Linked DNA regions of Sus scrofa. The protein of the gene in region 5 binds, or shares a complex with, the protein of the main gene of each other region. Links are inferred from orthologs where the notes say so. Each region holds a gene or a part of one and is shown on either strand. Other genes may lie near its edges. The genes, in order: CRNKL1, RBM48, CWC22, GPKOW, CWC15, SNRNP40 and BCAS2.

What was found.
Region 1: CWC15 (region 5) and CRNKL1 share a complex: the UniProt entries of both Homo sapiens proteins name them as parts of the minor spliceosome. The link is inferred for Sus scrofa from reciprocal best matches to the Homo sapiens genes CWC15 and CRNKL1.
Region 2: CWC15 (region 5) and RBM48 share a complex: the UniProt entries of both Homo sapiens proteins name them as parts of the minor spliceosome. The link is inferred for Sus scrofa from reciprocal best matches to the Homo sapiens genes CWC15 and RBM48.
Region 3: CWC15 (region 5) and CWC22 share a complex: the UniProt entries of both Homo sapiens proteins name them as parts of the minor spliceosome. The link is inferred for Sus scrofa from reciprocal best matches to the Homo sapiens genes CWC15 and CWC22.
Region 4: CWC15 (region 5) and GPKOW share a complex: the UniProt entries of both Homo sapiens proteins name them as parts of the minor spliceosome. The link is inferred for Sus scrofa from reciprocal best matches to the Homo sapiens genes CWC15 and GPKOW.
Region 6: CWC15 (region 5) and SNRNP40 share a complex: the UniProt entries of both Homo sapiens proteins name them as parts of the minor spliceosome. The link is inferred for Sus scrofa from reciprocal best matches to the Homo sapiens genes CWC15 and SNRNP40.
Region 7: CWC15 (region 5) and BCAS2 share a complex: the UniProt entries of both Homo sapiens proteins name them as parts of the PRP19-CDC5L splicing complex. The link is inferred for Sus scrofa from reciprocal best matches to the Homo sapiens genes CWC15 and BCAS2.

Annotation. Positions count from the first base shown.
Region 1 is NC_010459.5:28,101,637-28,105,427, forward strand, and holds part of CRNKL1 (crooked neck-like protein 1), read right to left. Parts: intron 2,389-3,791; coding exon 2,210-2,388; intron 896-2,209; coding exon 725-895; intron 1-724. UniProt on the Homo sapiens protein: Involved in pre-mRNA splicing process. As a component of the minor spliceosome, involved in the splicing of U12-type introns in pre-mRNAs.
Region 2 is NC_010451.4:72,443,232-72,447,805, forward strand, and holds the start of RBM48 (RNA-binding protein 48), read left to right. Parts: upstream 1-1,579; coding exon 1,580-1,723; intron 1,724-2,260; coding exon 2,261-2,451; intron 2,452-4,543; coding exon 4,544-4,574. Other genes in the region: PEX1 (peroxisome biogenesis factor 1), read right to left, coding at 1,137-1,385. UniProt on the Homo sapiens protein: As a component of the minor spliceosome, involved in the splicing of U12-type introns in pre-mRNAs.
Region 3 is NC_010457.5:85,602,802-85,607,120, forward strand, and holds the start of CWC22 (pre-mRNA-splicing factor CWC22 homolog), read right to left. Parts: upstream 3,037-4,319; 5' UTR 2,788-3,036; intron 1-2,787. UniProt on the Homo sapiens protein: Required for pre-mRNA splicing as component of the spliceosome. As a component of the minor spliceosome, involved in the splicing of U12-type introns in pre-mRNAs. Promotes exon-junction complex (EJC) assembly.
Region 4 is NC_010461.5:43,181,811-43,185,601, forward strand, and holds part of GPKOW (G patch domain and KOW motifs-containing protein), read right to left. Parts: intron 3,609-3,791; coding exon 3,454-3,608; intron 3,355-3,453; coding exon 3,224-3,354; intron 1,344-3,223; coding exon 1,234-1,343; intron 1-1,233. UniProt on the Homo sapiens protein: RNA-binding protein involved in pre-mRNA splicing. As a component of the minor spliceosome, involved in the splicing of U12-type introns in pre-mRNAs.
Region 5 is NC_010451.4:27,044,279-27,048,643, forward strand, and holds the start of CWC15 (spliceosome-associated protein CWC15 homolog), read right to left. Parts: upstream 3,003-4,365; 5' UTR 2,859-3,002; intron 2,828-2,858; exon of another isoform or gene 2,580-2,827; intron 1,618-2,579; 5' UTR 1,610-1,617; coding exon 1,479-1,609; intron 885-1,478; coding exon 772-884; intron 1-771. UniProt on the Homo sapiens protein: Involved in pre-mRNA splicing as component of the spliceosome. Component of the PRP19-CDC5L complex that forms an integral part of the spliceosome and is required for activating pre-mRNA splicing.
Region 6 is NC_010448.4:87,876,773-87,881,083, forward strand, and holds the start of SNRNP40 (U5 small nuclear ribonucleoprotein 40 kDa protein), read right to left. Parts: upstream 2,852-4,311; 5' UTR 2,769-2,851; coding exon 2,625-2,768; intron 1-2,624. UniProt on the Homo sapiens protein: Required for pre-mRNA splicing as component of the activated spliceosome. Component of the U5 small nuclear ribonucleoprotein (snRNP) complex and the U4/U6-U5 tri-snRNP complex, building blocks of the spliceosome.
Region 7 is NC_010446.5:105,991,172-105,995,522, reverse strand, and holds the start of BCAS2 (pre-mRNA-splicing factor SPF27), read right to left. Parts: upstream 2,966-4,351; 5' UTR 2,873-2,965; coding exon 2,780-2,872; intron 2,671-2,779; coding exon 2,578-2,670; intron 1-2,577. UniProt on the Homo sapiens protein: Required for pre-mRNA splicing as component of the activated spliceosome. Component of the PRP19-CDC5L complex that forms an integral part of the spliceosome and is required for activating pre-mRNA splicing.

The DNA.
Region 1 (3,791 bases), on a different chromosome or scaffold from region 5:
GCTTCACACTGATTGCGTAAACCTTCTAAAATCTCTATCTGTAAAAACGGATTTCTCTTTTCATAAGTGTAAATGTGACTATGCATTATGTCTAGATTTAAAATGAAAAAGCAATTATACCATGGTTGCAATGGCAAAACCTGCCTTTTCAATTAACAGTGACATGTTTTGAACATATCTTGCTGACCTCATTTAACACCTGACTTAGTCCTTTGTTTGGAGATATCTTAATACATTTGACCAAGTCGAAGTTTTTTTAAATACACAGCAGAAGAGCACAGGAAAACCTGACTACCTCTGAATTCAAATCAAACTAACACATTCCAGACAGAGATGAGAATGTCCCATACCTACAAAGTCTTTTGTTCCAGCACTTAAGTTAAGGATAATGTATATAAAAGGGTTTTTTAGGATCGATTTGATTCTTTGTTCAAAAATGTGCTCAGATGGATTCCAGGTTTCTCTTGCTCAAGTTCTATGCATACCATCAGCAATTAACAAAGTGCCCTCCACCATGCGAGAGGCAGAGCAAATCCAGGTCCTGTTTGCTTGCCTTTCTATCAGTCTGTTTATTCCTATTTGGAGTCGCTGCCAATTTTCTGCAGATACATGGTCGAGAGAGCGATCACTGTGGCCCTGACTTGCCCTGACCCATGTCACTGCAGTCAGGACTGGCCAGCATGTGCTCGTCACCGCAGAGTGAAGCAGCTACACCAGCACTCACCTTCACTTCCTCCTCATACTGGAATCTCCGTTTGCTCACGATGATGTCTTCAATGCCCCGCCTGTCACCAAACTTCTTCTCAAAGATGGTGTAATTTTTAAAGAGTTCCTGGGCCTCTTGCTTTGAAATTCGATCCAGGGCGTACTTGTAGATGACTCGTACCCTCTCAAACTAAGAAGAGATGGGAAGGATTATCTTCTAGAACACAGTATTTCCATTCTTGTCACAACTTGGAAAGTAATTAGGACATAAGACTTAGGTATAAGACTGTAAGGCCTCAAAATGTTCAAAACACTGGAGTTCCCATCGTGGCTCAGTGGTTAACGAACCTGACTAGTATCCATGAGGACTCGGTTTGATAGCTGGCCCTGCTCAATGGATTAAGGATCTGACGTTGCCATGAGCTGTGGTGTAGGTCACAGACACAGCTCAGATCTGGCGTGGCTGTGGTGTAGGCTGGCAGCTACAGCTCCGATTCCACCATTAGCCTGAGAACTTCCATATGTTGCAGGTGCAGTACTAACAAGACAAAAGTCCCCCAATGCTGCCAGCTGGATGTCATCCATGCACCTCAGGCTAAGGTGAGCCTGTTTCTCCCCACCAGGCCCCGGCCTTTCTCAGACTCCCTGCCCTGCTGAGCAAAACCCACCATCGTATACCTGCTCAGTTAGGAGTCCTTCCTAATGCCTCTTTCCCTCACTCTCCACACTCACCACTTCCACAGCCCAGCCCTTTCCACCTCCTCAACACAGCCCCTCACTTCTTCCCAGGGCTCTGCTGACCCACCTCCATTTCTCCCTGGACTGTTTCAAAAGCCTCCCACTTTCACCACCCTCCTCCCAATACAATCTCGATGAATTAGCCACAGGCTCTCCTCATAGCACAAACTATATCCTTCCACTCTCCTGCTTAAAACCTGCAACACTTGCCACTAGCCCTAGGAAGAGAATCAGAATTCACTACTGTAACCCAAGCAAAACCCTGCATTCAGACCCCAACCAACACCGCCCACCCACCAATCTTGTATTATTTGAGCCACTTTACAGGATTATTTTCCATTTACACTATGGGAGAAAATAACTGACTTCTTTGTGAGGCAATCTGTTTTAATTTCAAATTCTGTTCTCCGTACTGAGGGCTCTGGGCTTTTATTTCCCAGGTTCATTACCTGTAAAGCCCTTTAATCAGGATACCAACAGACTCTCAGCTTATTGATAATATTCTTTCTAGATGGACAGGCTTAATGTTCAAGTAGAGCACAGTAAAGTTAAGCCAATTAAAATACAATCTATAATCACTCGCTCCCAATCTGCAGCTTAGTCACAGATATATGCTCTTTTCCTTGAGAAATCATGTTTGTGTATTTTAAAAGCACTTTCTCCAAGGATAAGTGAATAAGAAAACGGAAATGAACTCAGTGTGCACAAGCAATAACCTTTTCTAGGCTGCTCTGCAACAGAATCAAGTTCCTTTACGTTTACTTACTTCTTTCTGATTTTCTTCAAACTTGGCAAAGGCAACATAAAGGTGTTCATCCATGTGTTCATCCCCAAAGAATTCGACAGCTCTCTCATACACTTTCCGTGCGTGGGCAAAATAACCATGTTTTTCTTCAAAACGGGCGTACTTGATCCAGTTCTTCACATCGGGGTGCACGAGAACAAGTGGGCAGAATTAAAGAAATATGGGCAGAATGTGGCTTAAAAAACAAAACCCCAAATTCAAACCCCAACAATCCACACTCCAGCTGGGGGAGGTGGGTGTGTGTGTGATAAAACATGTACAGAGATGAAGACCCCCTAACTTGTAATCACCCGAGAGGCCATGCCTTGTTCAGCTGGCCTCCTCCAGGGCTTACTCAGCATTCCAGTGCTGCTACAAACAGGAGTCTGGGGCCATGAAAAAGCTGAACCCCCTGACTAGCCATGCGATCTGGAAAAGACGTTATTTATCTAAACACTGGTTTTATCATCTGTAAATAAAGGAAAATAATAGCAACCAATGTCATTCAATGACTGCAAGCTTTAAATGAGGAAAATGTGTGTAAAGCTCTTAGTAATTCTAGCCCAAAAGAATGTGCTCAATAAATGGCACCTGGAGTTCCCATTGTGGCTCAGTGGTTAACAAACCTAACTAGGATCCATGAGGACGTGGGTTCGATCCCTGGCACCGCTCAGTGGGTTAAGGATCCTTCGGTGCCATGAGCTGTGGTGTAGGTGGCAGATGTGGCTTGGATCCCATGTTGCCATTGCTGTGGCTGTGGTGTAGGCTGGCAGCTACAGCTCTGATTTGACCCCTAGCGTGGGAACCTACATATGCCACAGGTATGGCCCTCAAAAGACAAAATGAATAAACAAATAAATGGCACCTGTTGTAGTATCGGCTCAGTAACATTCATATTTGAATTAACGACTAAGGAAAAAAAAATGGCACAAAAAGAAAACTGCTGACCAGAGCCAACAGAGAGAGTTCGGATTACCATTTTACTTCCAAACAGGATGTATCTATTGTTAATCTACTTCTCTTGAAGAAACCATTAACTTCCAAAGCAGTAATACATTTAGAGGGCAACAATATAAAGAGCACAGGCGCTGAAGCTGCTACTGGATTCAAACCCCAGCTCCATCACTACACAAAAGACCCTGGTCAGTCTGCTGAACCTCTCGTGCCTCGGTTTCCTCATGTGCAGCATGAAGCGGTTCCTGCATTGCAGAGCTGTCATGGGGATTAAATGACAATACCCATAAAGTGCTTAGAAAATTGACAGAACACTGTAAACCAACTATAATGGAAAAAATAAAAATCATTTTAAAAAAAGTGCTTAGAATAACACATGGCACATAGCAAGCACTATAAATGCTTTCATTGAACTAATGACATCAAAATGAGTAGTCACAATGAAGATCTGAAAATTGCATAATTAAGTTGAGCCTTGTTTTTTGCAGTAGTTATATTCTTTGAAGTCACTCTGACAGCTAGTGAATACCCAATCACTGGTCCTGGGGGAAATGTATAAATACCATATCTCACAAAGGTTGTGATCTTATATCCTATAAACAACTACTGT
Region 2 (4,574 bases), about 45 Mb from region 5:
GCACGTGGAAAATCATCAAAGCTGAAAGCACAGGGCAGGGAGCAGCTACCTGGGACCAGGTGATAATAACTAACTCATCTCCAGCCAGAAGGAAGCTTATCAGGGCCAAGAGACTGCCTACTTTATAGTAAAAGAAATAATGGCAGGATCTGTTGAAATTAATGTGCTATGAAAGATAGGGGAAAATACTCTAGAAAAGGAGTTACAGAGAAGTAGCTAAAATGGAAAAGGGAGATATTTGAAATTATTGCAAACTGTTGAAATTACTGCAAACCAGTGGGTACTATGCATTCAGGATTTTCGAAGATTTCAAACAGCCTATCCTTTTAGCCCCTTAAGCAAGCACGCTCAAACTCGTAAACCAGGTGTCTCCACTTTACAATTAGGAAAATACAGATGTTGCATCTCTGTAACCATGCAAGTGTTAGAGCTATGAACCGCCACAACCACAAGGTGCAGAGCGCAAGTGAAAACAGAGGTTCAAGGAATTCTAACTACCTATGACCAAGTATGCATACTCCCACAGCACATTCCTGGAGCACCCCGGAGGTGTTTGGAGACACAGGAAGAAGGTTCATATTAATCTATCCCGCTCGTGGGACACAGGGCTCCACCTCTGTTAACCAATAGAGACTTCACAAACCAAGTCCGCCCCTCTTTCTGAAGGCCGGGACCACAGCCATGCAAGCACCTGGAAATCGCTGGCAGGAAAAACGTTTTCTAATAATGAAACAAAACAGAACAGAATCCCAAAAGACAAACAAACCCGACTTCTCAAGAGCTTTTCCAACCTGGAGTGAGGAATAGTTGAACGAAGAGGGAGAATATCGGGGCGTTTCAAAGCCCAGTTCCGGCGAGTAAAAGACCTGGAATACAGCAGGTCAACTCAAAGAAGCCGTGCTGCACTAGACGTGATGTGGCTGTCAAGAGCGCCCAGGCCAGCCCTGCCCGCAAGGGGTCCTCAGTGTGGCCTCTGAACCGGTCGGCGGGGCTGGGAAAGCAGCCCTAATCCCGCCGCCGGGAGAGGCCTGAGCGGCCGCTGCGTCCCTAAAAGGCCTGGGTCTCGGCCGACCGCAGACTGGCCAGCAGCTGTCCCAAGTCGGTGGTGAGAGCCCGGCACCAAGCGGGCGCCTTACCTGCAGCAGGTGTAGCTGGGCCACAAGGCGCCGCGGCAAGTGGAGGAAGCAGTCGCGAGCGTTGGTGAAGGCCACCGTCACGGCCGCCCCGCCTCCGCCAGCACCCGCCAGGCGATCGCCGCCCCACATTGTCTGCAGGCACCGACCCCCAGCCGCCCAACCTATCTTTCCCGGGCCAACCCCGCAGGTCGCGGGCGTCGGACCCGGAGACGATCGATCGGCCCCGCCCCCTAAGGCCCCGCGGCGCATCCGGAGCGGGAGGGGCCAGCACGCCTGCGCCTGTTCTCAGGGCCTTTCCGCCGCGCCGCTGGGGGGCGACACGTTCTTCACCAAATCCTCGCTCACAGGAAACGATGGCCGACGGTGTCGATTCTTCAGCCAATCTCGGAACGCCTTAACTCACCCCTCTCTCTTATTGGGTAAACGGTGGGGCAACGGGGCGGATGTTGTCGTTCGCGAGGGATAACACCGGCAAGATGGCGTTGAGCGGCGGGCAGCTAGGAGGCTTATTCGATCACCACGTCCAAAGGGCTGTATGCGACTCGCGGGCCAAGTATCGAGAGGGGCGCCGCCCTCGCGCTGTCAGGGTAAAGTGACTTTGGTTTCAATCGCTATCCCCGGTAGCTTTCTGTGAGTTCCAGCTTCACATGCCCAGCTTACGTAAATAACATCTTGAGAGGCTGCGGTCACATCGATTAACTGAAGAAGAATATGAAAAACGCTGGTACTCAAGTACCAAAGATGCTTGAGTGCTCTTTAGTCTACTGCTAGAACCTCAGCTCCGTGAGAAGAGGGCTGTGTTTCAGTCACTGTATCTTCCGTGTTTACAGTGGTCCTTGTTACATGGTAAACGCTCAGCGAATACTTGTTAACTCGTCCCTGTAACTTCTACCGAGCTAATTTGTGGAAAACACATTGATGGAAGATAATGTTACGTGCTTTAGCTAAAGGCCTTTGCAAGAAGGGTAAACTATTCATTATGTAGAGAGAGGGGCAAGTTTTTAGATTTCCTGTTTTTATGCAAACCAGTCGAAAGGTGTTTTTTTCAACTTTAAAAAAATATAGGATTAGATTTGTCCCAGGCTTCTTTGTGAAATACATTTAATGTGTCTGATTTCTTATAGGTTTACACGATCAATTTGGAATCTCGGTACTTATTAATACAAGGAGTTCCTGCAGTCGGAGCCATGAAGGAATTAGTTGAGCGATTTGCTTTGTATGGTGCAATTGAACAGTATAATGCTCTAGATGAATACCCAGCAGAAGACTTTACAGAAGTTTATCTTATTAAATTTCTCAATTTACAAAGTGCAAGGTAATATGCAAGTTAAACAGTGTCTCATTTTCTCCATTCCCGTTGCCTACATTTGGCCTCCCTCATTCATTTCTGAATTACCCAGTAACTAACATGACCCTGTATTCTTCTAGTCTTTTTAAATGTTAGCCCTACCAAACTCTTTCTATCACGTCATTCCCATGCTTAACAATTTTTTTGTGTGTGTAGTATGGTAGATTAAAAATTGGTTTGGGAGTAAATTTTCAAGTTTCACTGTTTACTAACATCATGACCATGGACAGGTTACTTGACCCCATTAAGACTGTTTTCTTATTCTTTAGACACCAGTATGGTAAAAGGACCTACTTACGGAGGTTGTGTGAGGATGACATGGATCCATGTATAGGGCTTAGCACAGTGCCTTCTATTCAGAAGGCAGTAAACATTAGGTATTGGATCTCTTATTTTATGGACCTGTGTAATTGAATCTCCTTCTATATAACATAAAATTTTCTCCAACAATTAAGTACGAAATGCCCTATCTCTTTTTTCCCTCATTTTAAAAAATGAAAGTGTTGATTTACAACCTTTCAGGTGTACAGCAAAGTGTTTCAGTTATACACACACACACACATATACCTATTTGTGTGTGTATACACACACACATTCCTTTTCAAATTATTTTCCTTTATAAGTTATTGCAGGATATTGAATAGAGTTCCCTGTGCTAACCAGTAGGTCCTTGTTGTTTATCTGTTTTACATATAGTAGTGTGTAGCTGTTAATCCCAAATCCCCAATTTAACCCTCTTCTTCCTTTCTACTTGGGGCCTTGGCTCTTTTTATGTTGACTCCTATTCTTATTGATAGGCTCCAAGACCCATCTTCTCTTGGCTGTTAGAATTCATATTTTCTTTTCTGTGCTACAGATAGCCCTTGTAGTCTTTCTGCCATAAATCACTTGGGTTAATGTCATCGTGTGTTGTTCTCAGGTTGCCGTTATATATAATCTCACTACCCTAACCAATTTGTCAGCTCCTCATGGTTAGGGATATTTTCTCATTGTGTATTTTAAGGAGTTTTGCATCTCTCACTCCACCTGGTACAGTAGGTCATGCAGTGTGACATCTGGATTTGAATCTTAGCTCCAAAAGCTAATGTGAGAATGGCCAAGTTATAAATCTCTCTAGGCTTCAGTTTCATCAGAGGGTTGTTGTGTTAATTCAAGAGAAGCACTTAAGCACTTTGGTCACTGCCTGGGATGTGGTAAAATCTCAGTAAGTATTTATCATTTTCCCTGGGCACTGAAGTGCTTATTTATTGTAGTAATTCCTGGCCAGTCACAGATGTTTAAAAATTATTTGTTGAATGAATACCATTCTCATTGATTGTTATATATTCAATATTTCCTCCATTATTGAATGTTACAATTTCAATATTTTATTAATTTCTTAAATATGAATCCCATTATAGGAACACATTGTGCCAAAAAGGCTAAAATAAGTATGAGCTAACGCTCAAGAGCCATTTAACATAGAGAAAAATCTCTATTTCATAACCACAGATTGTGTACCTCAGGCCAACCAGCTGGATCCAGTATTGGTTAAAGGGAGTCTGGATAGGTATGGATGACTTGAAACCTATTAAGACTAGGGAGAGGGAAAGAAAGGCTCTAAGAGTAGGCACTGGATCAGTAGAGTCATGCTGTCCACAAGCAGAAATTCTTATTCCCTAAGTATAAGATGTATATACACTTGGCAAAACCTGGACTTTGCTTTTTATTTATTTTTTTGCTTTTTAGGGCCACACTGCGGCACATAGAAGTTCCTAGGCTAGGGGTTGAATCGGAGCTACAGTTGCTGGCACAGCAAGGCGGGATCTGCGATATACACCACAGCTGTGTCTGCGATATACACCACAGCTCACAGTGCCAGATCTCCAACCCATTGAGCAAGGCCAGGGATCAAATCTAATCTAAGATACTAATCTGATACTAGTCGGATTCATTTCCGCTGTCCCACAATGGGAGTTCCTGGACTTTGCTTTTTAGGTCAGTGCATTGTGTACTAGTCAAGCTTTCTTCCTAAGTAAATCTAGATCAGGAAACCATAATATTTTGTATTTCTGTTTAGGATAGCCAAGAGAAAAATGGATGAACAGAGT
Region 3 (4,319 bases), on a different chromosome or scaffold from region 5:
AAACATGAACCTCCACTGGGTCTCCCTCCCATTAGCCAACCTATTCTGTAGTCACAGGGGCCCATATGTCCCCAGGCCAAGGCATCCACATCATCTTTTTTAGTACCTGTTCATTGGGGAAGATTTATGAGCTTAGCTACAAATAGCAAAGGCCTGCTTTAATCCACCACCACTTCTCCTGATGTATTATTTTAGAAAAATGCTTTGAAAGTTTGCACTTTGTTGTACGCCTTGAAATGTCTCTTCCAATGTCCACGTGAGAAATATATATACAGAGATAATATTTAGGCTGCAGGCTTTTTAAGTATGGAAGTTCACAGAAAATATTATGGTAGTGGCCTTTTTGTTCCATTACCTCCCATGCTAGAATTCTCAGATTTAAATAGAAAAGGAGAGAAATGCAACAAGGAAGCCCTCAAAGTCATTACCATTAGTGAGAACAGCTATATTACCAATAGCCACTTCTTTTTTAAACTAGTTCTGGGCCAGCCATGACTTATATCAAGTTAGGGATACACCAGGTAGTACAAGATTCAGTCCAAATACAAGGGGACAATAAACAGAAAATAATGTTCAAGTTACATAATGTATCACTGTGTACTCTCTTAGGTAGTTTCAGCTACAACGAGCCACTGTACAACTCTTGGCAATGTACAGTCACCAGGGAGGAGACTTAACCTCTAACAATTCAGTAGCTGGGAAAATGGACAAAGCTAAGAAAACTGGTTTATGAAAAACAAGTAAGAAATCCAGGAAGTGTAAGAAATCCAGAATTCCTATTCTATTTTCTTATTATTCACTCCAGAAGTGATTGGAACTAAACTATCCAAAGTAGGGAAGGATGTGTCAGTGGAATAACAAGGAAATACAGGCTAGCCATGGATCAAGTACTTTGCAGCAAGAAAGGCAGCAAACCTGATTCTGGGTGAGGGTGAACCACTGCAAATACCCAGGAGATGGGCTAGAACAGTGGCTCTCAAACTAACTGGCATGAAAATCACATGAAAGCTTTGGTTAAAAAAAAAAAAGAGTGAAAGGCCCCTCATTCCCCAGTTTCTGATTCAACAGGATTGGCATGAAGCCCAGTAATTTAATTTCTAACAAGTTCCATGTAGATATTGGTGCAACTGATTCTACTGATTCAGGAGATTATATTTTGGAAACTTGGGTCAGGTAGGGCATTAGATTAAGGTTCTTGGCCTCTGAAGTCTCAGTGCCTCATATGCATTATTTCTCTTCATCCTCAAAACAACCTCCATTTTTCAGCTGTGTTATCTGAGACTAGAGATGTGAGGTAGTCTGCCCCTAGAGACAGACCTAAAATGTACTGAACCAAGAATGGTACCTTTGGTTTACTAGTCCATCACTCAGTACCAATTCAATTTGGTCTCCTTCTCCTACAGAAAGTGATGTAAAAACGCTTCTTGTTATCAAGATGACACTTTTTTTTGGTGCAGCATATGGAAGTTCCCAGGCTAAGTGTTGAATGGGAGCTGCAGCTGCCTACCCATACCACAGCCACAGCAACACCAGATCCAAGCCGCATCTGCAACCTAGCTGCAGCTTGCCCCAACGCCAGATCCTTATTTAACCCACTGAGTGAATCCAGGAATCGAACACTATGTGGAGTTCTTAACCCACCGAACCACAACAGGAACTCCCAAGATCACACTTTTAATGGCAATTCTAAATCCACCTTTCCATAGTAGGATGTTAACTGAGGTTAACTCCTAAACTCAATGGCAATCCTAAAACAAATTTAAATACAGACAAGGAAGAGGCAGGTTAACTGGTTTTCTGAAACCCAAGTTTATCTGTCTGTCTGTTCTTTCTAGTCTGTGGAAACCTGAAAATGTTAAGGGAACTCTTTCAAGACTTTCAACCATCTCATTCTTGCATCTGGAATAGGCTTTCCCCATTTTTTTCCTTCTTCGTTTATCTCAAATAATTATTCTCAGGATAAAGCGAAAATAGGTTAAAGTGGTTACTGCAGCTGGACTCAGTAAAATTAACTATCATATTATATTACCAGTACATGCAAATGTATCGTAGATTCAGAACTCAATAGAGAGGTAGACAGACACTGGGGACCCAAGTTCGGGAGTTAGCACCTTATTGGAAGTAGTTCAAGTTATGGAAAGGTAAAGAATGACAGAAAGAACACATATAATAAGGAAAAAAACAGTCTCCAGGACTAAACACTAAGAAGCATAACTATTTACGAGGCAAATGAATGAAAAAGAAATGACTACCGAAATTTTACAGAAGCATCCACAAAGATAGTACGCCTAATAAAGGAGAGTGTAACTTCCACTATTTTTAAATTAACTATCGTACATTAATCCCCCACCCGTGGGGAGGCACTAAGAAAGGGACCTTGGGAAGCTCAAACAATTTGAGAGGTTCTAATTGATTCAAAACTGATCCGCATCCAAAACACATCGCATAGGAAGGGAGCGCTGGTTCTGGATTCTGCAATAAAGACAGTGGGGAGAGACAGCCCAGGAGCCTCACGATAGCTACTCCGTCCGCGCAGGCGAGGAGTGGATTCACCACCGCCCGCTGCACCCCACCTACTGGGACTCCTCGGCCCGACAGACACTCACAACCCAATCTCACGGGCCAGCGCGCGGCGGGAGACCCAAGCGCACCCTGGAGCCGCCCACGGCTGTCCCAGCGAGCGTGCACCCAGTCCTGGGCCCTCCTTTACTTCCCGCCGGGTCCCACAACCCGCCACCCGCACTCCGGTTCGCTGCCTACAGCGGGTCTGCGGAATTCGGTAATTACCTGGAGCTCCACCGCGCCGCCATTACACCGGATACACGTCACTTCCCTTTCCCGGGCCGGCGGTAGGCGGAAGGCGGAACATGGAATATATAAAAACCTAAATTGACCTTGCAACGTTATTCTATTACCTTATTTTAAATACCATCTTAAAATGCCACATTGTGAGCAGTCGGTAGGGTCCCACTTTTCCCTTCCCAAAACGGCGACAGAAGAGAAGTTGATATAAACTACAAAGTCCAGAACCCACACGCAAACAGGACGGAAATGACGTTTGCAATTGTAGGCTGAGAAGGCCGCAGTGTATGGTGGGAATTGTAGTTCTCCGTAAGCGGCAGAAAATGCGTCTTGCCGGCCCGCCGGAAACCTGGTTGTGAGAAAGACTTTTAAAAATTTACTTTACTTTAATCTAAAATTATTTCTCTGAAGTCGGCAAAAAAAAAAAAAAAAAAAAGTAGACCTTAATGTATTCATTTTTCTGAGAAAATCTAAGAGCAGACACCTTTCTCGGATTTCCTAGTTACAAGAACTATGTAAGTGAAAATGTTACCAGATGTTAATTAAGTGCCTACTAAGTTCCAAAATTTAAGCCCAAGTGAATGAGAGAATATTGGACTGTAAACAGAGTGACGTAATGAGGAGAAACTAATTCTTTAGAGAAGATGATGTTTCTCTTTTAGGTTAAGGTACAAGCTCGTGAGATATCATAAGGAGACAGCCTCGCTGACTTGGAAATAGTCTGGACAGAGATGAGAGGTAATCAAAGTATTTTCTTAAACTAAACTTTTTTTTTTTTTTTTTTTTTGTCTTTTTGCCTTTTTCTAGGGCCGTACCTGCGGCATTTGGACGTTCCCAGGCTAGGGGGTCTAATCAGAGCTACAGCTGCCGGCCTACACCACAGCCACAGCAAGGCGGCATCGTAGCCGCATCTGCGACCTACACCACAGCTCAGGGCAACGCTGGATCCTTAACCCACTGAGCGAGGCCAGGGATGGAACCCTCCACCTCATGTTCCTAGTCGGATTCGTTAACCACTGAGCTGTGTCAGGAACTCCAAACTAAACTTTTTAATAATAACAAAACCTAAAAGTTAAAACTGCTTGTTACTGTTTTGGAAACTGCCTTTCCTAAAATTTCTGTATATTTATGTTCCTCAACCTTGTATAAACCAGGTCTGGTTTCTCCAAACACTGATCTATTACAATTTGAAGGTGCTAGTATTACCAACCCTTTCCTAGAGGCAGAGTAAAATGATTATGGATAAAGATACTAGAGCAGAACAACTTATGTTAGAATCATGAATCTGTTGAAATAGATGGTTGACCTTTAACAGGTTGCTTCACACTGTGTGCCCATTTCCTGATCTGTTAGGAATGATAACAGTAGCCACCCCACAGAATAGTTTTAAGAATTGAATTTGGTGATACACTTGCTGTGTTTGTGATGATTCCTGGTACATGATAGTATTATCTATCCTTTTTCATGGTTAAGATATTTGGCCATAGTTTAAGGTGCATTTTGGTGTCTTAAAATAT
Region 4 (3,791 bases), on a different chromosome or scaffold from region 5:
CGATTCGACCCCAAGACTGGGAACCTCCATATGCCACAGGCGCAGCCCTAGAAAGATTTAAAAAGAAAAGAACATCCTTCCTAATCTCACATTAGGACTATTCCTGACCTACAGAAATGGCAATTTCATTTGGTTCAACCTAAAAACATGCTATTACAAAGTAGCTACAGAGGAATCTGTGGCAGATCCCAATAACCAAATACAGTAATGTTTCTACAGGGAAAATCACATGGTTATTCACACCAAGCAGGAGTAGAGCATAAAATGCTCAACTGTCAATCCAGGTCACCTTTGGCTGCCAAATGTTCTATGAAAAAAAAAAAGTTTGTTTTTCAGAACTCTTTGGGGTTTACAACTGCTGAGAAGGGGTCCTAAGTCCATGTGATAATGATAATAGCAAATGTTTAGTCGATGCTTATCTGGGCCCAGGGCCTACCCTAACTGCTTTACATATATAATTTCACTTAACTCTAACAACAGACCCAGGCACTCCAGTCCTGTTATTATCCCCATTTTTCAGATGAGAAAGCTGATGCCCAGAGAGGCAATCTTTCTTTCTTTATTAATTTTAATTTTTTTTTTAAAGGACACACCTGCGGCATATGGAAGTTCCCAGGCTAGGGGTCAAATCAGAGCTACAGCTGCCGGCCTACACCACAGCCACAGCAACACAGGATCCGAGCTGCGTCTGTGACCTACACCACAGCTCACGGCAATGCTGAAGCCTTAACCCACTGAGCAAGGCCAGGGATCAAATCTGCATCCTCACGGCTACTAGTCAGGTTCATTACTGCTGAGCTACAGCAGGAACTCCCCAGAGAGGCAATCTTTAGATAATGGCATCTTATTATGGGGGGGGGGGTTCCTTTTCTTTCCCTTTTTGGCCAGCCCATGGCATATAGGGCACCTGGGCCAGGGATCAGATCCCAGCTGCAGTCTCGACCCACACCACAGCTGCAGCAATAGTGGGTCTCCCACCCACTGTGCCTGGCTGGAGATTGAATCCATGTCCCAGCGCTCCCAAGAAGCCACTGATCCCATTGCACCATAGTGGGAATTCCTCATTGAGGAGTTCTGAAGGGCAAATAGGAGGTTGAAACAGTAGTGGAAGGGGGCTGCTGAAATACTTAGGTTGGTCATGTACCCTCTCCCTGCCTGGATGGTTCTGGGTGGGCGGTAACCATGGGGGTCTGTTCCTGTCTGTTGTCCCCCTGCCCCTACCCTAGAACTCACTGATTGAAGGTGCGGCCAATGCCCTCGCCGGGTTTCCAGCCCATGCCCCGCAGCATGGCCAGCCCATAGGCCTCCACAGGGACTGCCTCGTAATCAGCCTCCTCCGGCACCTATGGGTTTAGGCAGAGGAAGGACAGTCAGGATTGGCTTACAGTGGGCCCTCTGAAGTGTACTTGCTATCACTCACTGGGTGACCCTCGAGGCATCTTTTCCAGTTAGCTCAAAGGTTGACTTCTGATTTCTTCTTGCCATCCCTCATTTTACTTCTCCCTGTTCAGTCCCTGGGAAAATAGTTATAAAGCCCCTATTCTGCGCCAGCTACTGTTCTAGGTGCCAAGGATAACACGGTGAAAAAAAAGATGAAACGCCTTCCCTTGTATGGCTTATGTTCTAGTGGAGACACAATAAATGAAATATATAAAACATGCTAAGTCACATGAAAAAAATTTAGCACATTAAGGGGATGCAGAGGGATAGAGATGGGAGTGTCACTGAGTTGATATTTGAGCTGAAACCAGAAGGAGATGACAGAGGGAGCCCGGAGCATACGATGTGATCACTCCAGAAAGAGCAGTAAGAGCAAAGGCCCTGAGGCAGGTCAAGATCTGCTATGTGTGAAGAGGATCAGGAAAAGTCAATCTGACTGAAACAGATGTGGAGGCAGAGAGGGGTAGTAAGAGATTCATCAGGAGAGCTGGGTGGGAGCCCCAGTAGGGTGGCAGCCACAAGGGGACCAGTGAGGAAGCGACTGCAACAGTCTGGATGAGCAGGTGGCTCAGACCAAAGTGGTGGTAGGGGTGATGGTGAGAAGGGGTCAGGTTCTTGATGTATTTTGAAAAGGGAGATGGCAGGGTTTTGCCAATAAGATTGTATATGAGGTACGGAAATAATGCAGGAAGTCAAGGGTGACTCTAACGGTTTTGGACGAAGTGAGAGGAGGGACGGACGAAACTGTGATCAGTTGAGATGTGGAAGGCTCTAAGAAGGGAAAATTAGAGAAAGGAGGCCAAAGCTGGAACAGCTTTGAGAATGAAGGTCTTCTTTTTTTTTTTTTTTTAATGAAAGGAACCAGAGGATGTCTGAGGCTGATGAGCACAGTTCAATCGAAAGAGAAGGTGCTCTGGGGCTGTAGGAGAGCTAGGACCCAAAGAAGCATGGCAGAAAAATGATGAATGAAGAGGTGACGAGTAGGGTCCATGGGAAGAAAGACAGACTTGGCAACTTCTGTGGACATACTGCTCACCTCTCCTGCTGTTACCTGCCATCACCATTCCCTTGAGTCTTGATATGCCCTCCAGACACATCACACGTTGTCCCTGATGGACACGCATGGTGGATTGCCTGCCACCAGGCTACTGTCCGGGTCATTGCTGCCATTAAGAGCACTCACCGTGCTCTTCCCTCTCTCTCTAAACCCTACCTTGTCCTTCCTGGCCTCACTCCTACCACTCTGGCCTGAGTCTCCGTCACCTCTAGCCTGGACTGCTGGTCTCCTTGCCCCCACCTCCGCTAACTAGGCTGCTCTATTCACAGCAGCGAGAGAGACGGTCAAACCGCAAGCCTTGTCCCTTCTCTGCTCCAGAGCCCTCCCATGGCTTGCATCCCACTCAAGAGTTAAAGCGGAAGTCCTCCCCATGGCCCACTTCTGACCTCCTCTGCTACCCTACCCCCCTCACTCATTCCACTCCAGCTCCTTTGGTCTCCTTGGCGTCCCTCAAACACTTCAGGCGGAGTCCACCCTCAGCATCTTTACATTTCCTGTTCCCTCTGCTCCTCATCTCCTTTAGATATAATCCCAGGATCCAAGTCCTTTTTCAAACCTGAGTATCTGGATTCATCTGTTAATGCTTCCAAAAAGGATGGAAGGAGGAAGGGAGAGGCAGGCCTCTTGTACACACACACAGACTTTTCCTGCTGGGGGCAGGGAGGCGAGCCTGGCAGACAGGGCAATGAGAGACTGGGGAAGGAGGGAGTCGAGGGGCCAGCTCACTGTCTCAGCCCGGGGTTCGCTGTCTGCCCCTTGCCCAGGATGCGCTGGGGTGCATCCTTTCTGGATCATGGGGATAGCGAGCGTGGGGTCGACACCCGCATTCTCTCTCTCCTCCAGGGACTTCTTGGATTCTGAGGAAGAATGGGAGGGAGCAATGAGGTCCCACCCTATCCTTCCATTTCCCTCCCCTTCTTCCTTCAGGAGGAGAAGGCAAAGGCGGAATCGCTCACCCTCGATGATCTCCTTCACAGCCTGGGACAGCATCCCATCCGCCAAGACCTCAGGAAGTGTGGATGGCCCAGGGGCCTGGGTGGTTGGCTGCCTGCGGTGGCCATTCTTGATCAAAGGGATGACAAGCTCCGTGGGGGCTTCTGAAGGCTTCACACTGATGTGGACACAGAGGAGTAGAGTTGGGAGAGGAGCATGATCAGTGGGTTCTGAGCCACACCCCTTCATTCAGAGGAAACAGAAGAGCCGAACTCACCCCCTAGCCCCATAGACCTTCTCCCTTCTGGCTCTCCTGTTAAAACCTTTGGTGGTGCCTTCTTTGGATTCTTTCCCCCACTCC
Region 5 (4,365 bases):
TAACCACAGTGCCTGGCAAATAAGCCCTTGGCAAATATGTGTTGAATAAATTAATAGAAGTATTGATTTTAATATGGGAACTGTAGCCTTGCTCAGGAAATTCAGAAAATAGTTTGCATTTGCTAGAAATAAAAATGGGAGAATTTTTCTTTTCTTTTCCTTTTTTAGGGCCATGCCTCTGGCATATGCAAGTTCCAGGGCCAGCGATCGAATTGGAACTACAGCTGCTGGCCTACACCACAGCCACAGCAATGGGAATCTGAGCCACACAGGGGATCTGAGCCACATCTGCGACCTACACAGGATCCTTAACCTACTCAGCAAGGCTAGGGATGAACCAGCATCCTCATGACACTGGGTTTTGAACCAGCCGAGCCACAATAGTTAACTCCATGGAGAATTTCATAGACAGAAACAATGGGGCCTCAAAAAGTCTGGCTGTGAAAATACCTTAATCCGAACTGAAACAATGGTTGCTAAATATTCCCAGATCACCTAGTTCTTTCCATATAGAAACATAAAAAGATGGAACTGGAATCAAATTCATTACCATCTCTAATCTAATCTAATCTAATCCAATCTAATCTATCCTAACCTAATCTGATCCAGTCTTTTAAGAAACTTAAAGTTCACACCAATATTTAAAAGCAAGCAAACAAAAACAGTAATCCATTCTAATTACCACGTGAAAGAAAAATTACTGTCAACACAATGTCATGAGAGACGTGTCCAGGGTGTAGGGTAGTCTAGGGGTCTAGGGAGTGTTGGTACCTCGGGTCGGCCTATCTCTATTTTTTTCTCTTGCAGCAGCTCTCTCTCTCTCTTCCAACTCTCTCCTGAAGTCGCGGTTCCGAACCTCTTCGGGGGCATCCTGAGTGGTCTGTCTAAAGCAGAAACAAACCAGGGCAAAAATACTTCTTAAAAACACACGGCTGTAGTCATAGAAGACAGCTTGTGAAAAGCAACTTTGTCCTGAGTTCCTGAAACATAAAGTCCCATTAGGGAAACTGGACAAGATCACTATCCTAATCTGAGGGTTACTAAGAGGCTCCTGTGATGTCTCTGATATTTCAAGAACCTCAAGCTAAATCACATACTTTCCCATAATAAGGGTGCAGGTTGATTAAAATGTCCTTACTTTTTGTAACTATGTCAACTCAGGGCTCTGTTACAATAATACTCTTAATCTCATATTGATTAGTGCTGATAGTGCACGTCCCTCTGAGATAATGTATCAGCTATTGCTCCATCTACTTATGGAAATTCCCAGTTAATTGCAATTTCTGCTTAAGGAATATCTTGTAGCATTTTACAATCATAGCGCATGATTTTAGTGTTATAAACACTAATGCATTCTACTCCTATGAAAATAGATTACTAAGTGATAATAACGTAAACACTATTATCTTATGACCATACCATTTAACAGATTTGGTCTTCCTTTGTGAAACAAAAAAAAAAATAAAAGGCTTCATTACCTATATTTTATCTTCGTATGAGAGGGTAGGTCTCTACTTGAATATTGCTTGGAGAGTTGGCTCAAATCACCTTCTCCTTTTCCTCTCCCACCTCTTGCAGGTTCAAAAGTTGGCCTAGCTGCCGTCGTCATTTTTTATGCTTTGAAGAAAAAGTGCCAAGTTACTTTCAACATAACAAACTATCATTTTATAAAGTATTAATCAATATCCATCCTTGGGAAAAAATTTCCCTAACTTATTCCCCAAAACTTATTTAAAATGATCTCAAAAGTTCTCATGAAAACAAACAGTGAAGCTCAGGGTGTAGCGGGAATATGCAGATATTTAGTACAAAAAGTTCTGTCATGAAGATCTGAGACTGTGTTCCTGTTCTCCTTCTGGCTCTGTGGCCTTGGACAAGCCAACTAGCTTAAGTTTCCGTCATCTGTAAAATGGGGACTATTCCTCATGGGATTATCATGAAATTAAGAGACTTGACATGTCAAAGCCCTTGCAAAAATACAGTACTGCCGTGTCTCAGTTTTTAAAAAAATCTCAACTCAACCTTACTCCACCAGACTCCTTAAGGTTCCCATTTTATCTAAACCTCACACTGCAGAAAAGAGGCTAGCAGCTACAAAAACAGAGAAGATATCTAAAAAAACAAATCATTGACAGATACTGAAGGTCCTGAAGAAGTGTGCTCAACTTCGACGACAGTTACATTGGCAAAGCTCCCCAACAATCTTTTGTTGTTTCAATTTTATCCTACAGCAGCCAATATAATATAAATCATAACTTTTGCAAGTTACAATTTAAGGGATGCTCAAAACACAGGAACCCACCCCCACGGGACTCTGGTAACTACAAATCAGGGACTCCTTCCTTATGTTACTTCTGCTTTTAAGCAACTAAAAAACACTGCACAGCCGATGTGGCTACTAAAACCTCCCTCAAGCGTCGGAAAAGCAAGTGTCTGGGGCAGCTGGCATACTTCTCTAGATTTTCAAAAAAGGGAGAGGAATATATCCAGTGGGGGTGAAACTGGGTTCCGGGCCGCTGGGGGCGCCGCCGCCTCCCACACACCATCGTTATTTACACTCTGGGTTCTGGGGAGTTCACCTTCGGGTTGTCATCGGAAAGCCCGGCGATTCTTCACCCGTGCCAGATTTGGCGAGGGGCTGGGGGCGCCCAGACCCGCTTAACGCAGCCTGTAGAGCTACCTTCACGCTACGCTCTCCGCGGCCGGCCCGGGACTGGCCGTCCCCAGTCCAACAGGCGCTGGGCTCCGCAACCCGCTGCCGCTCCGGAAAACTCCTCTGCCTGCAGTCGGTTCTCCGCGTCCGCCCCCAACTGTCCTCCCCCCCCCCCCCCCCAGTCTGCTTTCCCCCAGCAGCTCACGTTGGCCGAGGTCCGAACGCACCAGCCTCCGGAGATCATTCAGAAACCACTTAGATTCTCGGCTCCCAGAAACCCCTGCGCCCAGGGCCAAAGCCCAAGACCCGGAAGCAAACCCTAACCTCTTCAGGGGCGGAGGCAGGGACCAATCGGCAGAGGCCAAGGGAGAAGTCGGCGTGACGACAGCAAGAGGCGGGGCTTAAACAGCCCAGGGGGCGGGCGTTTGAAATCGGTGCTTTGAGTAGACCCTAAACATCATTTTATACCTTCGAGAACCAATTACTTAATGTCTCTCCCGTCTTTTCCTTTCCCGACCCCCTCCCAGACGCCTTCATTCCGGTACTGCGTGGACGGAAAGCCCCGGGTAGCCGACACCACGTCCCCGGCTACCGAGAGAGAAGGAGAGAGAGCGTAGAAAAGGATTATACCAAACGGTTTAAATCCAACGGCTCCTGCTTGCTTAATCTTTGAGCTAGACCCAGCAAGCCTAGAGAGTTGGGCTACGGAAAGACTAGTATTTTCTTTTAATTGGATATGAAGAAAGAACAAATATGTACGGGGGCAACCACGATCTTTATAAAGGTACCATTCCTGCAAAAAATGTTAGTCTTCAAAGCAAAGGTTGTATTCGTATTGACTGTTAAAATTGTAATTTTTTTTAAAGCCTAAGTTCTAGCGGGAGGGGAGATGTCACTATTAGAGATTCATTCATTAACCGACATTGAACGTTTAGAACGGTGGGCCCAACTGCCAGGAGCCCTAGATGCAATTATAAGATGGCTACTCATGCGTTAGGTGAAGTTTTAATAAGGCAACGAACAGGAAAGGGAAAAAAATCACCAATTGTCCTTCTTACACCTCCAAAAGCACTGTGGGAGCAGGGATCTTGTTTGGTCAGTTTAACGTGGTTATCGTGATATCTAATCACATAGTCTTTGGCTCAATAGATACTTAAACAAATGAAAATCCAACTCCCTTAGCTTAGTTTCAAATGTAAAGAGCTCATTAAAATTGAACATAAAAAAGCTTTTTCCCCCCCTCAGAATTCTTTCTTTGAACTCTAAAATGAACAAAACAAAAGGGTAGAAAAACTCCCTTCCCTGTAAATTTCAAGATGCAAGTCTTGATTTTTCTAGGAAGGTATTACTCCCCCAGTCTTAGACATCTCAGTAAAGGACACTACCTACCATCATACTAGTTACTTGAACCCAAATCCCAGGGTTTCCTCTTAGATTCCTTTTCCTTCACTTGTCTCATCCAACTTATTTGCAAGTCTTACCAATTCTACTTTCAAAATATACCCTAAATTTCATTCCCACTGCTACTACCCTAGTCCAAGCCACCATCATTTTCCGCCTGGAGTGTAACTGTCTCCTTTGTCTTATAGTCAGTTTTGCATCTAGCAGTGAGAGTGATCTTTTAAAATAGTGAGTCAGGTAGTGTCACTCTCTTGCATAAAAATCTGCATTAAAAACCAATTTTTTTCCTTCTTTTTTTTGGCCGGCTCTTA
Region 6 (4,311 bases), on a different chromosome or scaffold from region 5:
GTATATTTTTCCTGATTTAGATAATGGCAACTCTTCTCACATAACTTACGTCTCTAATTAGATTCTCTTCTTCTGAAGTTTCCAGGGTCTGTTTGTTATGCTAACTCTCCTCCTCCCTCACTGCGCTCCTACTTTTGATTGCTCAAACATGTTAAACTCATTTCTGCCTCAGGATCTCTTATACTTGTAGCTGAACCCGCAGGAACAAGACAGAAACCCCTTCCCCTAGATCTTCCTGTGTGTGACTCCTCTCAAACATTTCTGCTTCAGAAAGTCCTTCCTGGAACACTCAAACTCAAGCAGCACTCTTCCACCTCCCTTCTACATGCTATCAACCTTAGGGATTCTCTCACAGCACTTCATTTTTCTTTTTTTGCTTTTTAGGGCTGCACCCATAGCATACGGAGGTTCCCAGGCTAGAGGTCTAATGGGAGCTACAGCTGCCGGCCTATGCCAGAACCACAGCAACGCCAGATCCTTAACCCACTGAGTGAGGCCAGGGATCAAACCCGCAACCTCATGATTCCTAGTCGAATTCGTTTCTGCTGCACCACAACGGCAACACCTCTCACAGCACTTCTCTAACTACCTGAAATTACCTTCCTCATTACTTGTTTACAGTGTCTCCCCTACTGTGCCACTAGAAAAGCTCTGTGACCACAGGAACCCTATAGAGTCATTCAACAGTCTTCCCAGTTTCTAGTTCATTTAATGAATGAATGATTGAATTGAGCTTCCCAACAACCTTGCAGGGTACAAGGTTACTAAGGAAAGTAGTCTTGTTTACGGTTTTAGCCACTAAGCCTAGGCTTGGGCAATTCACAGAAACTTGAGCTGATATTCTTACTTGTCAGATGGAAGAACAAATACACTGGCATTCTCTTCATGGCTCAGTGGTTAACAAGCCTGACTAGGAACCATGAGGATATGGGTTCAATCTGTGGCCTAGCTCAGTGGGTTAAGGATCCGGCGTTGCCGTGAGCTGTGGTGTAGGTCGCAGACACAGCTCAGATCCTGAGTTGCTGTGGCTGTGGCGTAGGCCAACAGCTGTAGCTCTGGTTTGACCCCTAGCCTGGGAACTTCCATATGCCATGGGTGCTGTCCTAAAGAAAAAAAACCAAAAGAACAAATACACTATTAATAATTCCTAAATCTCATCAGTAGTTTCCAGCTTATTCATTTACTCAAAAAATACTATGTGTCAGGCACTGTTCTAGACATTGAGAAAACAGTGTTGAACAAAATAAACAATGTAGGTTGTATTCTAGCAGGAGGGAGGGACAGAAAGGAGGGAGGGATGGCAGAAACAAGTATAAGGTATAGATGGTGGTGGTACGTACCATGGAGAAAACCAAACAGCAATGTGTTAGTGAGTACCCAGGTATGCAATTTAAAACAGGTTGGTCAGGAAAACCTTCATGGAAAAAGCGATATTTGAGCAGAGACTTGGAGGAGCTGAGTGTGTAAACCAGGTGGACATTTGGAAAAAGAACACTCCAGTAGTGGGAAAAGAAAATGCAAAGGCTTTGTGTGTGGTAGGAGCATAGAAGCCAATGTGACTGGAGTAAGGTGAGCAATGGAAAATTGGTAGATCAGAGAGGTCAAGGGAAAGAGGGCAAAAGGTTGTTAGGATTTTAGTTTTACTCTGAGTGAAGCGAAAAGCCATGGCATGTTTTCAGCAGAGGTTAACATGATTTGATGTTTAGAAGGATTCCTCCGGCTGCTGGACTGAGAATAGAATGAGCATCTGAGAAAAGAAACAGGAATGCCATCAGGATCCTACAGCAGGAATACTAGGTGAGAGAATAACAGCTTAGATCAGGAGGTAGTGATGGAGATATTTAGAAGTGGTAACAAATCTGGGTTTATTTTAAGGATGGTGCCAGCAAAGATTTGCTGACAGCCTGATTGAGGAGTTTCAGGAGGGGACATATATTCTTCAGCTAAGCCTAATAGAGCAGAAGGAGAGATGTCATCCATCACTACCTCTATCTTATAAGAACTCTAGTTAAAAGCCTGGATTCTGATTTTAAAATCGGTTTCTATCACTTATTAGAGAAGTTTGTTTCCCCATCTACAAAATGGGACAATTAACAATTCCTACCTCTTAGGCAGTGACCAAGATTAATGGAGTTTTCATATACAAAACACTTAGTACATGGCTCAATAAGTGTTACCTATTCTTCAGTTGTTAATACTAGTGCAGAGAAAGAGTTTTCCCCAAAGCAAGTTGCCCCAAGTCCCAAAGCGAGCTAGTATCGTTCATTTCCTTCCTTTCTTTCTTCCTTCATTCATCCATCCACTCTTTCAACTTTCCTGAACGTTTATTCTATGCTGGATCCCTGGAAGATTTAGGATGCGAAAGCCCGGGGCCCAGTTTTAAGATCCCTCACTAATTCTAACGCCCCCTCACAGGGCCATCGAGACGCTGAAACGTCAAACGGGGAAACGTAGCATCGCAGGGTGTTGACCGCTTTAACAGGTTTTTCTGCTCTAACTCCCTGGTGTGAGTCCCGTTCCGCCCCCGCAGTGCAGGGAAAGGGCCGGTACGGGATCTCACGGTGGAGCACTGAGGAGACAGGAAGATGAGCTGAGGGCCGAAGGCCATCTGCTCGTTTACTCACCGCTTGCAGCAAAGCTCCCGGCGCCGCCTGCTGCTGCCCGGCTCCCGGGCCCGACCCCGCCGCTCCCAAAAGCAATTCATGCCGCTGCCGCTTGACTGGGACCAGAGGCAACTCTGGGCCCTTGCGCTTCTGCTGTTCTATCATGGCGGCAACCGCTCTCCTCAGGCCGCCACTGACCGCGCCGACACCCTCAGGGAGCGCACGATTGGCTCCGACTTAGTCTTTCCCTTAGAACTTCCGGCTTGGAGAAACCAATCGGCTTCCAATACTCCCCTCTGCACCGCCCCCTGGGGAGTCTCCAGTTATTGGGCAACTCATTCTGATGTCACTAGAGTACGATTCCAGGATTGGTGGAACGAGCTGGAGTCCCGCCTCGGCGCGCTGGGTCTTGTGGGTGGAAGCGCGCTGACTGGGTTCTGGCGTTTCGCGCAATGCTGCGGCGGGGAGACCTGACGCTAACTCCGAGTAAGTGTTGGGGGTGGGTGGCTGCGGAATCTGGAGGCGGCGCCTCCGTTGTGTGGTCTGAAGCTGGCCTCTCTCAGCCCAGGGTTGATCGCAGAGGGCAGAGGGGGCCCCTGAGTTCCTAGCTCTTGGTGTATGGTGGCCTGGGTTCCCTTTCTAGGTTGGAGCAGAGCAGTGGGGTCTCTGCGCCTGCCTGGGGCCCTCGACGGCTGCTTTCTTTAACAAGCGCCTTCTGTGTCGAGCCCTGTGCCAGGTGCTCCTTGGGAGAAAAGGTCAGTTTCCCAGCCTCCACCAGGGTCGTCTCAGACTTTGGAGGCCGACTTCTTTCTGCCGTGATACTGCAGCCTTTTACCAGCGCCTGCTCTGTGCCCCTGAGAGAGAGAGAGGGAGAGAGAGAGAGAGATGAAGGAAATGTCCGACTCTTGGTCTCCAGAGCACAGTCTTGGCTGAGAAATTCAGACTCATACTTGTGAAGTAGGTTTTCTCCTTAATCGTTCAACTGATATTTATGGTGCAAAGCTTTGAGGAGACATTGTGAACCAAACATGGTCCCTGACCTCAGGGCTTTGAGTCCGATGGGAAAAACAGATGCTCAACAATGATCTTTATAGGGAATGCAAAGTAAGTGCTGCCAGGGAAAGGTACCTGGTGTTTTGAGTGCCAGAAATAAGCCGGAAGACTTGTCTAACAAAAAGATGCCTGAACCTATGCCTGAAGGAAGAATTCTAATTAGTTGGGGGAAGAGAGGAGGGCAGAATATTCCATATAGAACAGCATGTGCAGAGGCCCAATGGCAAATGAGAGGAAAATGACTAAAAGGTACAAAGAGGCCAGTGTTGCCAGGACAAAGAGAATAAAGGGGAGTGTGGTACAAGATGAAGCTGGAGGCAAGTGGAAGCCAGACTGTGTAGGAATTTGTAGCTTTTCTTTAAGACTGATGGGAAATCACTGAGGTTTTATTTTGTATTTTGCAGTGGAGAAGGTGGTGTGATGGAGGAGGCAGCTTGGTCCTTCTGGCTCAGTAGTTTGAATAGATTGGAGGGGAGATAAATGCAAATAGACCGCTGAGGTGAGAGTTGTTAGCAATGAAGACTATAGAGTGTTGGTGGAACTGAGAGGTAGATATTTTCTAGACTCCTTTGCACCTAAGATGAGAATTGAATTGGAAGGGAAAGGAGGAGGGTGAGAGGCATCCTCCTTTGCTGGCAAATACCATAGTAGAGGC
Region 7 (4,351 bases), on a different chromosome or scaffold from region 5:
TCCTTTTTGATCCTTGCTGCTCTTTTTACACTTTACTCTTTGGAAAGAATGGAGAGAGAGTTCCCATTGTGGCTCAGCAGTAATGAACCTGAGTAGTATCCATGAGGATGCTGGTAGATCCCTGGCCTTGCTCAGTGGGTTAAGGATCCAGTGTTGCCGTAAGCTGTGGTGTAGGTCGCAGATGTAGCTTGGATCTCGCATTGCTGTGGCTGTGGTGTAGGCCGGCAGCTGTAGCTCTGATTCGACCCCTAGCCTGGGAACTTCCATATGCTGTGGGTGCAGGACCTAAAAAGAAAAAAAAGAATGGAGACTAGAAGAAGGGACAAAAGGAACTGGTTCTGCTGTTTGCTCCAACAATTTTACTATTAAAAAAAAAATGTGGTATAGCTCTACCTCTTCAGGCCAATGTTTTGGTCAACATTCTATTCCGTTTAGACTAAAGAGTAAGCTAAAAAGGACTTCCAGAAGCCCACATTCCTTGTTTAAAAGTTCTGCATTAAGTATGTCTTGTTGGAGAAAGCCTTTTTTTTTTTTTTTTTTTTTTTTTTTTTGGAATACTGCTGAGCTGCACACACCTCTAAGAAAATGTGGTTATTTTGTTTCCTGCAGACACTAAGGCATTCTAGCTAGAAGGCTATGCACAGTGACAGATAAAGAGTAAACACTACTAATGAGGTGAGAGAAACTACAAAAATACAGCACACACAACCTTGAGCCACGTAACATAGAAGCCCTTACCTAACTCACATGGCCAATAAGTGAGAGATCTGGAATTTTAACTCAACTCTCTCCAAAGACTGAGCCAACACTCACAGGGCTGTCATATAAGAAGTCCAGGCATGAATGGCACATGGTAAGCATTCGTTAAATCAGAATGCCTTAGGAGCTCTTCATACATTCAACTGACAAATATTTGGGTGCCTATTGTGTGCCAGACACTGTCCTAAGGGATGAAAATACAGTGAAGAAGACAAAAAGGATCCCTGCTCATGGAGTATCATCTCAGATTACATAGGCCTTCCTCAACCATCCTATCTAAAGTAGTCACCCAGTCACTCTGTATCACATCATTACTTTAATTCTCCATGTAGCTTTACCAATAATCTAATAATTTCTGATCCGTCTCTACACTCTAGAATGTAAACTCCTGTTCCCCAATAACTTAAAAAGAATGTCAGAAATAGTTGTTAAATGAATTAATGAAAGAGCAGCTTCAAAGGCAGTTTGAAGATCATGGGGAAGTTAGTAAGCTGCACTTTTCCTATCCAAAAAACTGGTATAAAAAACATACAGTTTACAATTCACAGGACTGCTTTTAGGACTGAGATAGTGAGCTCAGTACACTATTAGCTCCTACTATTAAGAATCACTATACTAATTATAAAGATAGAAGTATAGGTTCTACTCAAGAGACCAAAAAAGAAAACCTGTTCAAGTGTTTAAAAGTTTGTGATTGAATGAAGTTATCTGAAATTTTCAGAAATCAGGCTAATAAGGACTTATTATTACTGTACCTAGTTTTTTTTTTGTTTTGTTTTTTTGTCATTTTAGGGCCACAGCCTTGGCATGCTGAAGTTCCCAGGCTAGGGGTTGAATCAGAGCTGTAGCTGCCAGCCTATGCCACAGCAACGCAGACCCAGTGGCCTCTGTGACCTACATCACAGCTTACGGCAACACTGGATCCTTAACCCACAGAGCATGGCCAGGGATCGAACCCAAGCCCTCATGGATACTAGTCAGGTTCGTTAACCACGTGAGCCAGGACAAGAACTCCTGTGCATAGTTCTTAATACTGTAACATCTACATTTGGGTGACATTTAGAAAAAGCATGGGAAAACAGGATGCCATAGGAACATCTCTCTCCTACTTAAAACTTAACCGATATATTTTTTTCATGTTACTTCAATAGAAATACTGCTTTTTATAAGAGATTTCTTTTGTAAATAAATGGTTACCAGATATGGGGAAAAACGGAACATGTATATACTAAAATGCCTAACAGAATCCATTAATTTAGAAATATTTTACATTTCATTTAGCTGATTAGACCCTAAATAGTATTACAGATGCACTTCTAAATATTTAAAGGGTGCATTACTTAGATACGGTTTGTCTCTTCAGTCATTCTCACAGATTCAGAAAATACTTAAACTTTGGTTCAAAGACCGCCCTCCAGTGGTTCTCAGAAGCTTAGGTAACTAGGCTTTTGTGTATTTAAAAAACCCTAGATCACTTGTTTTGCAGTAGACCTTAAAGAGAAAAGGATCCCTTTGAGAATTTACGCAGTGAACCTACCTCGGAAAAACGTTAACATTCGTTTTTGCATTGTTAGATCAGTTCGCGAAGCCCTAGAAAGTCCTTCTGTGGCTCTAAGAATAAGAACCCGGGAGACAGTTTATCCATGCAGCTATTTTCAATTGACTGACACTACCTATACCAATGAGTAAGCTGTGGCTAGGCAAGTAACAGTTAAAGCTGGAATCTGAAATTCACTTTTGTGTGGCTAAGGCTCTCAATCCAAAACAAAGATTCACAGGATCCTGGTTTATAACGTGGACTCAAAATATCACACTCACTTCAAAAGCGGAATAATCTGGGGCTGTCAGGTAGCTCAAGTAGTTCTTGGTAGGTCGGTACCTGCGAGTTTCCTCCTCTACCAACGCCGCGGCCTAAGAAAGAGAACAGAGGCCAAAATAAGAGGAGCACATCGTTAGGTCAGTCTTCCAGCCCGAAGTGTCCGCGAGCGCTGAGTCAGTCACACAGACACCCGGAACTTACCGCTTCCCGCACACCAGGCGCTTCATAACCCTGGTCAAAATACGGCAGCGCGTCTACAACAACCTCTCCAGCCACCAAACCGGTGCCCGCCATTCTTGGGCTCGCCTGACTTCTCTGAGTCTGCGCGGGCTCAGGCTCGCTTAAATAGGCCTGCACCCGATATTAACATAATCACGTTGCCGACGTCCGACACCTACGTAATCACGTCGAACATGTAATCACGTCTATCGTCAGCGCCGACACTGTCCTAAGCACGTCGCTTGCGTAATAGCTTTTGGCGCATGCTCAGTTAATTCCGAGGGCGTGCTAACTAGAAATTGTCCAGCCTTCTTGTTTTGGTCGGACGTGACGTCATGTTGTGTGGCTCCGGAGTCTGCAGGAACGTCTCAATTTCCTGTCCCCACCTGCTGCGCTTTTTTGCCTCCGATTGGCAGCCAAGTGGAAGAGTTGGGACTTTTGGTTTCCTCCGGCTCGCTGATATCTGGGAGGGGAAACCCTTTAATAAAACTTTTGAGGGAGGGGAAACCCTTTAATAAAACTTTTGAGGGAACTCGCTGCAAGATTTAGCGAAGAGAAGGATCCTGGTTTCCCACCTCGGCTTTATTCCCCTAACCTTCCAGTCTTCGGTTAAACTACTCTCCCTTTTCACTTCCTTGCTCTATCTGCACTATTGTTCTCCGTCCCTTGAGAATCTTTGCACCGAATAAGTGGAATAAGTGCAGCTCTCGCAGACTCTAGAAGTGGGCGTTAGACTCCAGTGAAAACTGCGAAGCTTTGGAGTCTGGAGTGTGCCTAACAAAAGGAACCTGATCTTCCCCCGGGGCGAGATTGGTAACTGCCCACTAACCTCATCTTTTAAAAAACTGATTTTTGCCTTCAGGACGTGTATAAAATCCAATCATTTTGCTTTTAGGGCTTCTGGTAACAGGACAATCTTTCTCATTGCATCCTAACACTCGTGATACTGCCAGTACCTATTTCCAGCTCCCTTTGATTAAGCAGGGGAAGACTAAATAAGGTAGGTAGGACTCTATACCGTGTCCGGTGTGCAAATATCGACCCAGACTTTGCCAAGAGCCTGGAAATGTCGGCCACGGTTATTAAGCTTGAACCTAGGATTATCTTTTAACCTACCATTAATTAAGTGTGCTAGCTATATAGATTTAACTGAAGTAAAAAATCTACAACTTAAGCCATTTAAGATTCTCCCAAGAGATCCACGGAATTTTTTGTTTATTAAAAGATCTGTAAACAACATTTTATACAAATCTTGAGCAATTACTTTACAAACATGTCCAGAATTTGTAATACTTTACAAAAGCAAAATAAAAGACTTAAGAAAAGGAAGCAGCTTCAGATTGCAGGGATAAAATAAGACCCCCATCCCTGTAGCAAAGCAAAAGTCTCCTCACAGAGGGATGGCCAGGATCCACCAGTTACACCTTCTATCCCCATTTTATAAACACTCAATTCCCAATTACTAACTGTTCCCTCAGGATTGGAGTTCCCTCAGAAGTGACCAAATGGGGAGATGTCTGGTAAGATCCCCACTGGGGTAAGCTGCTTAACATG